Sus scrofa: one gene and its partner. Each later gene encodes a partner of the first gene's protein in a complex. Links are inferred from orthologs where the notes say so. Each region holds a gene or a part of one and is shown on either strand. Other genes may lie near its edges.

The links.
Region 2: BDP1 (region 1) and BRF2 share a complex: the UniProt entries of both Homo sapiens proteins name them as parts of the TFIIIB complex. The link is inferred for Sus scrofa from reciprocal best matches to the Homo sapiens genes BDP1 and BRF2.

The regions. Positions count from the first base shown.
Region 1 is NC_010458.4:47,802,735-47,809,401, reverse strand, and holds part of BDP1 (transcription factor TFIIIB component B'' homolog), read right to left. Parts: intron 2,721-6,667; coding exon 2,441-2,720; intron 796-2,440; coding exon 686-795; intron 1-685. UniProt on the Homo sapiens protein: General activator of RNA polymerase III transcription. Requires for transcription from all three types of polymerase III promoters. Requires for transcription of genes with internal promoter elements and with promoter elements upstream of the initiation site.
Region 2 is NC_010457.5:48,565,701-48,572,884, reverse strand, and holds the start of BRF2 (transcription factor IIIB 50 kDa subunit), read right to left. Parts: upstream 4,679-7,184; 5' UTR 4,540-4,678; coding exon 4,386-4,539; intron 3,715-4,385; coding exon 3,655-3,714; intron 2,284-3,654; coding exon 1,962-2,283; intron 1,151-1,961; coding exon 433-1,150; 3' UTR 1-432. UniProt on the Homo sapiens protein: General activator of RNA polymerase III transcription. Factor exclusively required for RNA polymerase III transcription of genes with promoter elements upstream of the initiation sites.

The DNA of each region.
Region 1 (6,667 bases):
CTTGCTCAGTGGGTTAAGGATCCGGCGTTGCCCTGAGGTGTGGTGTAGGTCACAGAGGAAGCTCGGATCTGGCGTTGCTGTGGCTGTGGCATAGGCCAGCAGCTACAGCTCCAATTAGACCCCTAGCCTGGGAACCTCCACATGCTGCGGATGCGGCCCTAAAAAGACAAAGAGATTAAAAAAAAAGAAAAAGAAATATAAATGGTGGAGTTCCTGTTGTGGTTCGGCAGCTTAAGAATCTGACTAGCATCCAATACTAACGACAGAAAAGTTATTTAGTTGGTTTTACTACATCTTGGTAATATAACATATGAAATTTATTTTTCATCTCAGAGATAAAGGGCATCATTTACCATCCCAAGAAAGCAGTGACGTGAAATATCACTAATTTTTGCCATAAAGTTCTATCTAAAAGGACATCAGGAACTCCCCTGGTGGCACAGCAGGGTAAGGATCCGACGTTGTCACTCCTGTTGCAGGTTCAGTCCCTGGCCCCAGGAACTTCCACATGCCGCTGGAGTGGTCAAAAACTTAAAATTAAAATTAAAAAATAAAAGGACATCCCATGTGCCATAAATTTTGTCAACATGTTTTTGGAAAACATGAAACTGTACTTTATAAAAATGATATTTACTTAAATCACTACATACCCAAAGGAAGTAAAACAGAAATAAACTTTACTTACGTCATTGGATTGTTATTTGGCAGGTAATATATGAAATCTCTCATAGTCATTTTTGAACGATCTTGTGGCCTCTGATTTTCATTTACGGCATGTTTGTTTTTCCATTGCTTCTAGACACACACACAAAGATACACTTTTATTTTATAAATAAAGGAGAATTATAGCCATATACATTTAAGTATTCAGCCAACTGCTGCATTCATTTCAAGTGCTTGAAAATTATTCCTATCACAATTATGCCTAATTTTAGTAGAAATTATAAATTCAGTATTAAAAAGTTGGAGCACATTAAGGAATTTTAAAAACTAAAGTGACTAGGACTGCATAAAGTGCAATGTATAAAATCATGATTACTGATGCTGACTAATCACAAGGGTTCACTGAAAATTTATACATACACAGCTTTTACTTGCCCTGCAATGAACTGGAATTCTGCATGCTTTATAAAATTCTTGAAGCAAATATTTAATTTTTGCTTCCCCAAAATAAATGTAATTAAGCAGATTCTATAAAACATAGAACATTTTGAGGCTTAGATTTTCAAGGATATGGATTCAAGTCTCACAGCCTCCACTGATACTTGACATAAAGCAAATAACCTCTCGGAGTTTTATCTCCTCCTGTATAAAAGTGACATCAACTTCTCACAGTTAACATATTTAAATGAGATAATGAATACAAAATACCGAGGTAAGTATTTTATCTTCCTCTTAATTAGAAAAAGGTGGACATTCTATAATTAATAATAAGAGCAGACATTTGTTGGGCTCTTACCATTTACTAAGTAACTAGTCTAAATGTGTTTTACACATATCAACTCTTTTAATCTTCACAATCTTCCAATAAGGTGGATACTATCATCAGTCTATTTTACAAATGAGGGAACAGCCACAGGAGACTAAATTGTTCAAAGTTACATAATAAAGGATGACCCTAAGAGTCAAACCTTAAAGTATCAAATTCCAGAGGATGCATGCTTTCCTAGTGTCACACTGCCTTCTCAGACAGACAATGAATCTTCAAGATTAAAAAGAACATAGACTCGAGTTATACACACATCTTCCCCATCTACAATTTTCCTTTTGTCAATTTAGAAAACATTACCAATTCATTTTGCTCAACTATACTTAATTCAAATGAATGTCAGTCATACCTAGACATCCTCAGAAAAAAATCCCACTAAAGGTCTAGTTTATAAATACACTTGTAAGCATATGTGTTTGTGAGCACACATATGGAACTTTTATTTGTGGCTGCTGCCAAAAACAAAGACATAGATGGGGGTTCCCGTCGTGGCTCAGTGGTTAACGAATCTGACTAGGAACCATGAGGTTGCGGGTTTGATCCCTGGCCTCGCTCAGTGGGTTGAGGATCTGGTATTCCCGTGGGCTGTGGTGTAGGCTGGTGGCTACAGCTCCGATTGGACCCCTAGCCTGGGAGCCTCCATATGCCGTGGGAGCTGCCCTAGAAATGGCAAAAAGACCAAAAAAAAAAAAAAAAAAAAAAAAAGACATAGATGAATAAAATATATAAAAATTAATACTGTGGAAAAAAAATAGCTTATTAATCCCATCATGCTTCTTAAATCATTCTGTTAACAAAAGGGGATATTGTACTAACATGAAGGATGTGATTTGGTTTTGTTTCTCTCATCAAAATGCTACAGATGCTTATTTTTCCTCTAAATGATGCCTCATTAACATAAAATCAGAAATCTAGCAGGCAACAGTCAAAATTCTGATTTTTTTACAATACCTTCTCTTTTCTCAACTCTTCTTTTAACATTTCTCTCAGTTTCTGGGCTTTATATATTCGGAATCGATCTGAGCATGGCTGTTTCTCTTTTGTCGGAACGGGGTTTGGCTGTGGAGCTTCTTGATTATTAACTGTAGATAAAGGATGAGGTTCTGAGGGAACACTGACACTAGGCTTGACCACACTAGAGGTACTTGATAGTCGCTTTCTTCTTTGTGAAACAGTAGGGGAAGATTTACTTGATTCTTCAACATTATTCCCACCATCAGTCTTTTCATCACTGTTGAAAGTTAAAAAGAAAAAAAAAGGATACCATGGATCTTCTTTTAAATATCCTACTTTTAAAAACCAGTCTAGGAGTTCCCGTTGTGGTGCAGTGGTTAACGAATCCGACTAGGAACCATGAGGATTCGGGTTCAAACCCTGGCCTTGCTCAGGGGGTTAAGGATCCAGCATTGCTGTGGCTGTGGTGTAGGCGGGCACCTATAGCTCCAATTAGACCCCTAGCCTGGGAACCTCCATATGCCTTGGGAGTGGCTCTAGAAAAGGCAAAAAGACAAAAAATAAATAAATAAAAACCAGTCTAGGAGTTCCTGCTGTGGTACAGTGGCTTAATGATCCAGCTTCTCTCTGTGGAGGCGCCAGTCAGATCCCAGGCCCAGCGCACAGTGGGTTAAGGATAAGGCATTGCTGCCACTGAGGTGGGGGTCGAAGGTCTGGCTTAGTTTTGCTCCCTCCAGGCAGAAACTTCCACATGTCTTTTGGAGGGGTGGTGGGAAATCATTGACTTGAACAGAGGTAGCAATAAAATTTTTATTTACTAAATTTAGATATGTAAATTCTTTTTTTTTTTTTTTTTTTTTTTGTCTCTTTGCCATTTCTAGGGCCGCTCCCGAGGCATGTGGAGGTTCCCAGGCTAGGGGTTGAATCGGAGCTGTAGCTGCCGGCCTACACCAGAGCCACAGCAACACAGGATCCGAGCTGAGTCTGCAACCTACACCACAGCTCACGGCAACACCGGATCATCGTTAACCCACTGAGCAAGGCCAGGGATTGAACCGGCAACCTCAAGGTTCCTAGTCGGATTCCTTAACCACTGAGCCATGACGGGAACTCCTGGAAATTCTAATGAAAACTAATGAGTCCTTTGAAACCTCAAATTCCTAAGACCTAATAGCACATAATTTTATGCTCATGCTACGTCCCTCAAGGAAAGCAAAGACAAAATACAAAAAATCTAAATTATAAAACAAAGCTAATCAGCGTAACTCAAATTATCAGATAACTGAGAGGTTAATTCATATTCTTCTATTCTTCTTTTTTTTTTTTTTTTTTCCAGTTTTGGGGTTTTTTGGGCTGTATCTGCAGCATGCATAAGTTCCCAGGCCAGGGAGTTCCCACTGTGATGCAATGGAAACTAATCCAACTGGAATCCACAAGGATGCAGGTTCGATCCCTGGCCTCACTCAGTGGGTTAAGGACCAGCGTTGCCACAAGCTGAGGTGGCAACCAGCGTTGCCACAAGCAGATGCAGCTTGGATTCCAAGTTGCTGTGGCTGCTGCATAGGCTGGCAGCTGCAGCTTTGATTCAATTGCAGCAACAAGCCCTAGCAGTGACAACCCGATACTTAACCCACTGAGCCACTGGGGAACTCCAAGGTTTTTTTTTTCCCTTCTTTTTTTTTTTTTTTTTTTTTTTTGTCTTTTTGCCATTTCTTGGGCCTCTTCCCGTGGCATATGGAGGCTCCCCGGCTAGGGGTCTAATCAGAGCTATAGCTGCCGGCCTATGCCAGAGCCACAGCAACTCGGGATCGGAGCCAAGTCTGCAACCTACACCACAGCTCACGGCAACACCAGATCCTTAACCCGCTGAGCAAGGGCAGGGACCGAACCCGCAACCTCATGGTTCCTAGTCGGATTCCTTAACCACTGAGTCATGACAGGAACTCCCCTTTTTCTTCTGATAAATTTAAAGAAAAGTTTTTTTATTGAAGTATAGATTTTTTCCTTTTTTTTTTTTTTTTAAGGGCCGCACCCACAGCATATGGAAGTTCCCAGGCTAGGGGTCAAATTGGAGCTACATCTGCCAGCCTACACTGCAGCCACAGCAATGTGGGATATAAGCCACGTCTTTGATCTATGCCACAGCTTTCAGCAACACAGGATCCTTAACCCACTGAGTGAGTCTAGGCACAGAACCCACATCCTCATAGATACCAGTTGGATTCTTAATCTGTTGTGACACAACAGGAACTCCTGAAATATAGGCTGATTTACCATATTAGATTAGATTCTGGTGTACAGTACAGTGATTCAGTGTTTTTACACACTGTACACCATTAAATGAGGGTTGTTTTATTTATTTGGCCGTGCCTGCAGCATGTGGAAGCTGCTGGGCCAGGGACTGAACCCACCCACGGTAGTGACCCAAGATGTGCAATGACAACACCGGATCCTTAAACCTGCTATACCCCAAGAGATGACCAAATGAGCGCTGTTTTTTTAAAATTAAGTTTATAATCTATAAAGACACCCTCTTAAAACTGATTTAAATTACTGGCATTTTACTTTAATTATCTATCAACTTGGAATCGGTCAAACCAAACATACAAAATGTCAACCTTCTGAAATATTTCTATTGCAGTTATTTGAAGATATTGAGCTACATCAATCAAACCAAATTCTGTTCAAGAGAGAAATCATTTATCTTTTGTCAGGTATAACTCTACTTATTCAGCTATCAAAATAAACTCTTGGAGTTCCCATTGTGGCTCAGTGGAAGTGAATCTGACTAGTATCCATGAGGATGCAGGTTCAATCCGTGGCCCTGCTCAGCGGGTTAAAGATCAGGCGTTGCCGTGACCTGTGGTGTAGGTCGCAGACTCGGCTCGAATCTGGCGTTGCTGTCTGTGGTATAAATCAGCAACTACAGCTCAGATTTGACTCCTAGCCCGGGAACCTCCAAATGCCTCAGGTACGGCCCTAAAAAGACAAAATAAATAAAAATAAAAATAAATAAACTCTTCACTTAAAGAAAGTAGTAAGTCCCTGGAAATTATATATATTATAGTTTAGACTAGATATAATATTTCAGGAATGGCCTTAAGAGGATATAAGTCAAGAATTAAAACCAGGGAGTTCCCTGTTGGTGTAATGGTTACTATTCAGCACTTTTGCCTCTGGGACCCAGGTTCAATCCCTGGTCTGAGAACTGAGATCCTACTTTAAGCTGCTGTACCTTGTGGCCAAAAAGAAAAATAAATAAAAGCAGTCTACTGTTTTCATGTTAGGATTAGTTTAATATAAAAGTGGAATATGCCTAAACCTATAAAATAACCTTTCCAGAAAGTATCCAAATTAAACCCTTATCTCAGCCCTAATAATGTGATACCACCTGCATTTTATCCAGTTAAGTTGAATGCATAAAAGGACAAAACATACACCCTATAGGTTTTTACAATTAGTAAAGACCCACTTAGGAGTTCCCGTCGTGGCGCAGTGGTTAACGAATCCGACTAGGAACCATGAGGTTGCGGGTTCGATCCCTGCCCTTGCTCAGTGGGTTAATGATCTGCCTTTGCCGTGAGCTGTGGTGTAGGTTGCAGACACGGCTCGGATCCTGCGTAGGTTGCAGACACGGCTCGGATCCTGCGTTGCTGTGGCTCTGGCATAGGCTGGCAGCTACAGCTCTGATTAGACCCCTAGCCTGGGAACCTCCATATGCCTCGGGAGCGGCCCAAGAAATAGCAAAAAAAAAAAAAAAAAAAAAAAAAAAGTAAAGACCCACTTAAAAAAGGATAAAAAACAAAGTATATTTACTAAATGTCTACTCTATGAAAGCAATACCCTTAATCTTAAATGTCTCAAGACTACACTTATATTATCGATAATCATGCATTCACATGTAGTTAACAGAATCTCTGTAAACTTTATTACTTTAACAGTAACTGGTATTTGTAGTCCATTATTGGGAGAAATTGTGAAATAAATTCTTGTAAGAAACTTGGAAATTACTAAGCATCACTAAGCTATCAAAATAACATTCTATACCCAGCACCAATTAAGGCCAACAGAAAAAATCAAACCAAAAAAGAAAGGAGTAAAATCGTCACCTTCCTATCACAATAGAAAAAAAATTTATGCCATCTCACTGTCATTTAATGGGGTTGGTTTTCCTTGGTTTCCTCATATTTAGAGTATAAAAACAGAGATCAGGGAGTTCCCATT
Region 2 (7,184 bases), on another chromosome or scaffold:
ACGTGAACCCACTCAGACCTGTGAACAGATGCATGGCCAAGGGTTGCCTGGGGTCTCGTCCTCCAAATGGGGGAATGCCTGCTGCTCCACACCAGAAGGGAGGCCCCACCAGCAGCACAGCAGCCACACCAGGAGCAGGAGTGACCCTGCCACTCTCCCAACAGTCCAAGAGGAAAGCCAGCCTGGGAACAGGAGTACGTGCAACCCACTCTCTGAGTCCAAGAGATGGGACTCCCTCCAACCCACATGTCCCTGCATTCCTTCTGACTTCTACTCCAGGGCCTTGGGTCAAGTAACTGCAGAGCCCCTCTCGGGTCCTTGAAACAAGAACGACAATACCTAGACTTGTATACACGAACTTCTCTGAGGTGTCAGGACTATCACCACCCTGCCCTCAGGTCGGGGTGAGGCAGCCCCAACTCTGGATGTGCATCAGGGAGGGTTAGGACCACTCGTGGTGGCCTGTCCAGCAGCCTGGGCTTTCTGGAAGTCCCTAACTTCCTGAGGGGTACGCAAGTATTGCTCAATCTCACTATCAGAAATGTTCTCATCGCCGGTGACCGTGGAGACAGGGGGGGTGGGACAGATCCGCTTTGGGGGCTTCAACATGCAGGGTGGGAGGAGGGGGGCAGGACTCGCTGGCCGCTTCCCCTCAGGCAAATCTACAGAGCTGCTCCCCGCCTCCTCCTTCCCCTGTCCCTGCCCCGGCAGCTCCTTCTCCCGCTCGTCTGTCTCTGAGGTTCCATCTCGAAAGGCCTTGCGGACTAGCGTGTGGCGGTGCTGGAGGAGGTCACCGATGTGCTTCACCACAGACCGCTTGTCAAGCTTCAGAACCTGCAACCAGGCCAGCTGCCCGGCCATCCGCAGCAGCACGGCCAACAGCTCCTGCAGGCGGGAGGCAGCAGGGTAGGGAAGGTCCACGTTTGCCAATTTACAAAATCGGGCCAGGGAACAAGTCAGCCGATCAGAAGGCTGCAGCGACTGCCAGGCCAGGAAAGTGGCAGCAGTAACGACAGGTAGGGGATGCCGCCCAGTCACCAGCCACGTCTCATCCGCCAGCTCCACCAGCTGCAGTGTTCGAGACAGCATCTTCTCCTTGTCTTCCACGTACTTGGCTGGCACAGACGGGGAGGCTTGAAAAAGTTTGAAGCTGAAATAACCAAAAAGACGGTCTGGTCTCAACACCGACGGGATGCGGTGGGGGGTAGCAGGGGACTGCTCTTCCAAACTGAGGAAGATAGCAAGCTGTTCTACCCTCCTGGAAACACTCACGCCTGCTGGGCAGCAAGGTCATCCGGGTACCAGAGAGGACAGGATGAGCCTTCTGCTGGAGAAGTGAAGGGCAGGAGAAGGCAGGGAGCTAACATTTGTTGACCACCCCCTGCCAGCCATCCTTCTGAGTGCTTTACAGGTGTTCTCCTTTAATCTACTCAATACCCTGTTATGTGCATTGAGAGTTGGAAAAACTTGCCCACAGTTACCCAGCTTGGAAATAACCAAGCTTCAAACCCAGGATTATCTGACACCGATAGCCTTTGCTTTCTACTATTATTTACCAGAAAAAAAGGAAAAGGACACAGCTACTTAGAACAACAATAAAATTTAGCTTCTAGCTCCACCCTGTCATTTACTAATAACTTCTTGGGTCTAATCACAGGTGATCCTCCCGAGGCAGGGTCACAGCATTCAGCCACGCAAAACATGAGAGGTGGACCTCAAGAGCCCTATGCCAAGGCTAATACCTACTTCCTACATCATTAGGGTGCTGTGGGCAAAGGGATTTGAAAATTATACCATTCTAGAAATGTAAAACGGGATCAATGTGACTACTACTAAGCCTGGGAGAGGGAGAAGAGACTTCTCTCCCACATCCTTGGAAATGCGCCTGGTCAAAAAGAGGCAGCTAGAGATAAAAGGGTTCAGGTCCCACCCCAACCCAGCGTCTCCCACACAGCAGGTACCTGCTACAGTAAGTCTTCACCAGGTCTGCCAAGCACAGAGACGGCACGTCTAGCCCCAGGAGCTTCACCATCTGCATGTAGGTGCCAGAAAACACATCCAAATCTGCATAGATTAGGGTGCAGATGGTTCCCATGGTCAGGGGCCAGTTACGCTGCCGGCAGGTAATTAAGACACAGCACCCGACCAACACCTCCTTCTTTTGCAGCCTGGCAGCACGGATGCCAGAGTGCTGGTATGCCTGTTGGTAGTAGGCAACTGCCGTGTCCTCAAATGTTGGTGGTAGCTGCAGAACTCGACAGAGGTCTCTCACTCGGCGGAGACCTAGGAAAACCCATAGCAGGAGTTAGTCCCAACAATAAAGAATGATCTTTAAAAGGATGATATACCACAACCAAGTGGGATTTATCCCAGGGATACAAGGATTTTTCAATATCCACAAGTCAACAAATGTGACACACCAAAATGAACCATAGAAACCATATGGTCATCTCAATAGATACAGAAAAAGTGTTTTATAAAATTCAACATCCATTTACAGTAAAAACTCTCCAGAGTGTGGGCATAGAGGGAACATATCTCAACATAAGGAAGACCACATATGACAAACACAGAGCTAACATCACATTCAACGATGTAAAGCTGAAAGCCTTTCCTCTAAGATCACGAACAAGACAAGGATGCCCACCCTCACCATTTTTATTCAACAGAGTTTTGGAAGATCTAACCAGAGCAATCGGAGGAGGAACAGAAACAATAGGAATCCAAACTAGAAAAAGAGTTCCCGTCATGGCTCAGTGGTTAACAAATCCCATATCCATGAGGACGCCGGTTCGATCCCTGGCCTCACTCAGTGGGTTAAGGATCCAGCGTTGCTGTGAGCTGTGGTATAGGTCGCAGACGTGGCTTGGATCTCACATTGCTGTTGTTCTGGTGTAGGCCAGAGGCTACAGCTCTGATTCAACCCCTAGCATGGGACCCTCCATTTGCCATGGATATGGCCCTAAAAAGACAAAAGAAAAAAAAATAAAATTATATTAAAAATTAAAAAAAAAAAAGCGGAAAAGAAGCAGTAAAACTGTCACTGTCTGCAGATGGCATGATATTCTACATAAAGGGGTCAAAGGAGCCATCATGCAGCTCCCAGCAATTTCTGGTAAACCTGCCTCAGATATGAGATGCACAAATAACAAACCTTTCTATAATGACAACAGCGACACTTAGTGAGGACATTTGGGAGGCACAAAGTCACTTATAGAAAGAAGTCACATTTCAGTGCCCCATCTTTTGGAGGCTGGTTTGATTTGTGGCCAAGCCAAAGTTTGCATCTGAGCTCCTTAGTCTACCTCAAACAAATCCCCAAGCAAACCTGAATCTTCCACCTAATTGCTACCTCTCTTAGAACCATCTCCTCGCTCCCTTCCTTTCTTTTTTTTTGCCATGCCCGTGACATGTGGAAGTTCCTGGGCCAGGGATCGAACCCATGCGACAGCAGCAACCCAAGTCATAGCAGGACAACACCAGATCCTTAACCAACTGAGCCACCAGGAAACCCTATCATCCTTTATTTTTAATTACCATTCTCTTCAACTCAGCCTTACACAGTAATGCTGAAAACAGGAAAGATAAGTAGATGGGCTGGACCATCAGGAGAGTTTTCTTTAAAGCACTATGTCATAAAAGGTTTATTCTCACCTCGTTGCTGGCTGCGACTAACTTGTTCATTTTCCCCTGTGCTTCGGGAATATGTTACTTCTGTAAGATAATGGGCAACAAATAGCTTGTTTAGCCTCCACGTGCCACACCCTTGCCCTCCCACCACACAAAACCCAGGAGCCAAACCAGGACGCATCCACTTCTTGTCCCATCTTTGCACATTAAAGGTCCATCTGATTTTCTATGACCACAAACAGTACCCAATACAAAGAAATTTAGGAAGATTAGGACTGCACTAAAGCAGCTCCAAGTGTTCCAGCCATCTCTCTTGTACATCCAATTCAGGCAATTTTCCTGACTGAATATTCTGAGGGTTGCATTGGTCACAGACTTGAAGAGCAGAGAGGGAAGAAAAAAAAAAAAAAAAAAAGATGCTTTTGCCAATTAGTGCTCAAAACTACTTTGCGGTAATAGTATTTTCTGTATTCGTAAAGAATTGATCCGCAATCCTTCCACCATGCCCAGACTAGGTAAATTGAGTGCAGCTTTCTCTCTTGATTTCATTTATTCAGCGTTTATTAATACCAAATACCTTGCTAGAAAAACACAGATAAACCGCAGTCCCTGAGCTTCTACAGCTCACTCGTTCACTTTAGGCCATTTTCTCCCGTGCATGTGACCAGGAAAAGGCAGGAGATAAGAATCTCGACGTCAATCACTCCACTGCCCCCAGGCTGTTATCCATTGCCCTGGAAAAGCCCGCAAGGTACCTCGGAGGTTGCCCTCATCACTGAAGGTGGTCGTAAGGACTCCCTCGGTGACCACACAGCCGCAGTCGGAGCACACCAGCTGGCTCTGCGAATAGTGTGAGTCTTCCACCAGCTCAGTGGAGCCGCAATCGGGGCAGCGGCCTCTTCCCGGCATCTTACAACCCGTCCAGAGCCGAGGAAGCCTTCGGGTAACCGCCCCTAACGTCGACAACAGCAACAGTGTTGCAAACAGGAAGTAGGAGCGGAGCTTTCTAAGGCCTGCACCACCTCCTTCCGGCCAGCGTGACAGCCGTACTATGGGTAGTTCCTCCTCGGCCACGCCCCACTTCCGGTCCTTTCCTCTGAGGACTCGGGTAGAAATGTGAGCCAGGAGACGGGGGTTCCTGCTGGACTGCGTCTTCGGGTTCTCCGCAAACTGTAGTTAGTTTGAGGTGGGCTAGACTAGCAGTTGCATTTGGGTGAGCTTTTTACATGCATGGATACGCATAATATACAAGAAAATTGTTGCCATCCACAAAGAACTCTTTTTTCTAAAGCGCTAGGGGAATCGTAGATGCTCCATTTCCCTTTGGTAAGGAACGTTGATTTGGGCCATGGTACAAAGTTTGTGTCTAAAAGGGAGAGTGGTCTAGTGAGAGGGCAGGGAACTGTGTTCCTTCCAGAGCGCCTTCACCTCGAGCCAGTTGTCTCTTCTCTTTGCAGTCCATTTTTCTCAACTGTGGAATAAAGGAGTTGAATTAAAATCCAGAGTGGCACCCTCAAATGCCTTCAGAGGCTAGGCAAAGAATGTCTAAAGGAGTTGGAGAGAAAGAATATGGGGTGGTGAGGCCTTTGGCAATCTGGAGGGTTCAAGCAGATGCGGATGTTTTTAAAACCTTGAGCTTTAAGATGCTCCAAGATTCTAGCTCCAAAGTTCCTAGCATGGTATATAGCACAGATCAAAGAATCTTGAGGAAAACTGTGCCGCTAGCAGTGTTATAGAAACCAAGCTTACCAATTAGAGATTTTGTATGTCATGTTTGAGCATAAATTAAAAGTCATCAAAGAGGTATTTTCTTTTTCTTTCTTTCTTTCTTTCTTTCTTTCTTTCTTTCTTTCTTTCTTTCTTTCTTTCTTTCTTCCTTCCTTCCTTCCTTCTTCCTTCCTTCCTTCCTTCCTTCCTTCCTTCCTTTTGTCTTTTTATGGTCCTACTCACAGCATATGGAAGTTCCCAGGCTAGGGGTTGAATTGGAGCTGTAGCTGCTGGCTTACACCACAGCAACACCAAACCCGAGCTGCCTCTGCAACCTATACCATAGCTCAAGGCAACACCAGATCCTTAACCCATTGAACAAGGCCAGGGATTGAACCTGCGTCCCCATGGATACTAGTCAGGTTTGTTACCACTGAGCCACAGTGGGAACTCCCAAACTATTACATTTAGAATGGATAAGCAATGAGGTCCTGCTGTATAGCTCAGGGACTTATATCCAATCACTTGTGATAGAACATGATAGAAGATAATATGAGAAAAAGAATGTGTATGCATGTATAACTGGGTCACTTTGCTGTACAGCAGAAATTGACAGAACATTGCAAGTCAACTATAATTAAAATGTTTTTAAATAAATAAATATCCGACTGCAGCAGCTTGAGTCGCTGAAGAGGTGCAGGTTCAATTTCTGGCCTAGTGAGTGGGTTAAATGGCTCGGTATTACACAGCTATGGCATAAGTCCCAGTTGTGGTTCAGATTCAGTCCCTGGCCCAGGAACTTCCACATGCTGCAGGTGCAGCCATAAAATTTTAAAAATACAAATAAAAATAAAAACCAACCAGGAGTTCCTGTTATGGCTCAGTGGTCATGCACCAGACTAGTATTTGTGAAGATGTAGGTTCAATCCCTAGCCTTGCTCAGTGGATTAAGGATCCGAGCTGTGGTATAGGTCAAAGATGCAGCTCAGATTGGGTATTGCTGTGGCCGTAGCGTAGGCTGGCAGGTGTAGCTCTGATTCGACCCCTAGCCTGAGAACTTCCGTATGCCATGGGTAGGGCTCTAAAAAGCAAAAACAAAAAACAAACAAACCAAACCAGGAGTTCCCTGGTGACCTAGCAGTTAAGGAATTTGGTGTTGTCACTGCTGTGGTTTGGGTCACTGCTGTGACGTGGGTTCAATCCCTCACCCAGAAACTTCTACATGCCATGGGCTTGGCCAAAAAAAATAAAAAGAGAGGAGTTCCCGTCGTGGCCCAGTGGTTAACGAATCCGACTAGGAACCATGAGGTTGCGGGTTCAATCCCTGGCCTTGCTCAGTGGGTTAAGGATCCGGCGTTGCCATGAGCTGTGGTGTAGGTTGCAGATGCGGCTCGGATCCGGCATTGCTGTGACTGTGGTGTAGGCTGGCGGCTACAGCTCCGATTAGACCCCTAGCCTGGGAACCTCCATATGCCGCGGGAGCGGCCCTAGAAATGGCCAAAAAGACCAAAAAAAAATAAATAAATAAAAATAAAAAAATAAAATAAAAAGAGAGAGAGAATTAGGAGTCTATCTGTTCAGTTCCAAAACCCATGTTCTTTATGCCATATTGGTTAGAACTGAGGTCTGAGATATAGAAGACTAATGGCATTTGCCCATTTCTGCAAAAGCTATTTATGGAGTGCCCACTATGTGCCAATGTACAGGCACTGTTTCAGGCCCTGGCGAAAGAGCCGTGAGCAAAGCAAAGCCCCGACTTTTGGAGCTGATCTTCTAGCGGATGCAACACGCTTTTAGGGATGGGTGTGGCCAAAATAAACAAACCAAACCAAACAAAAACACCGTCT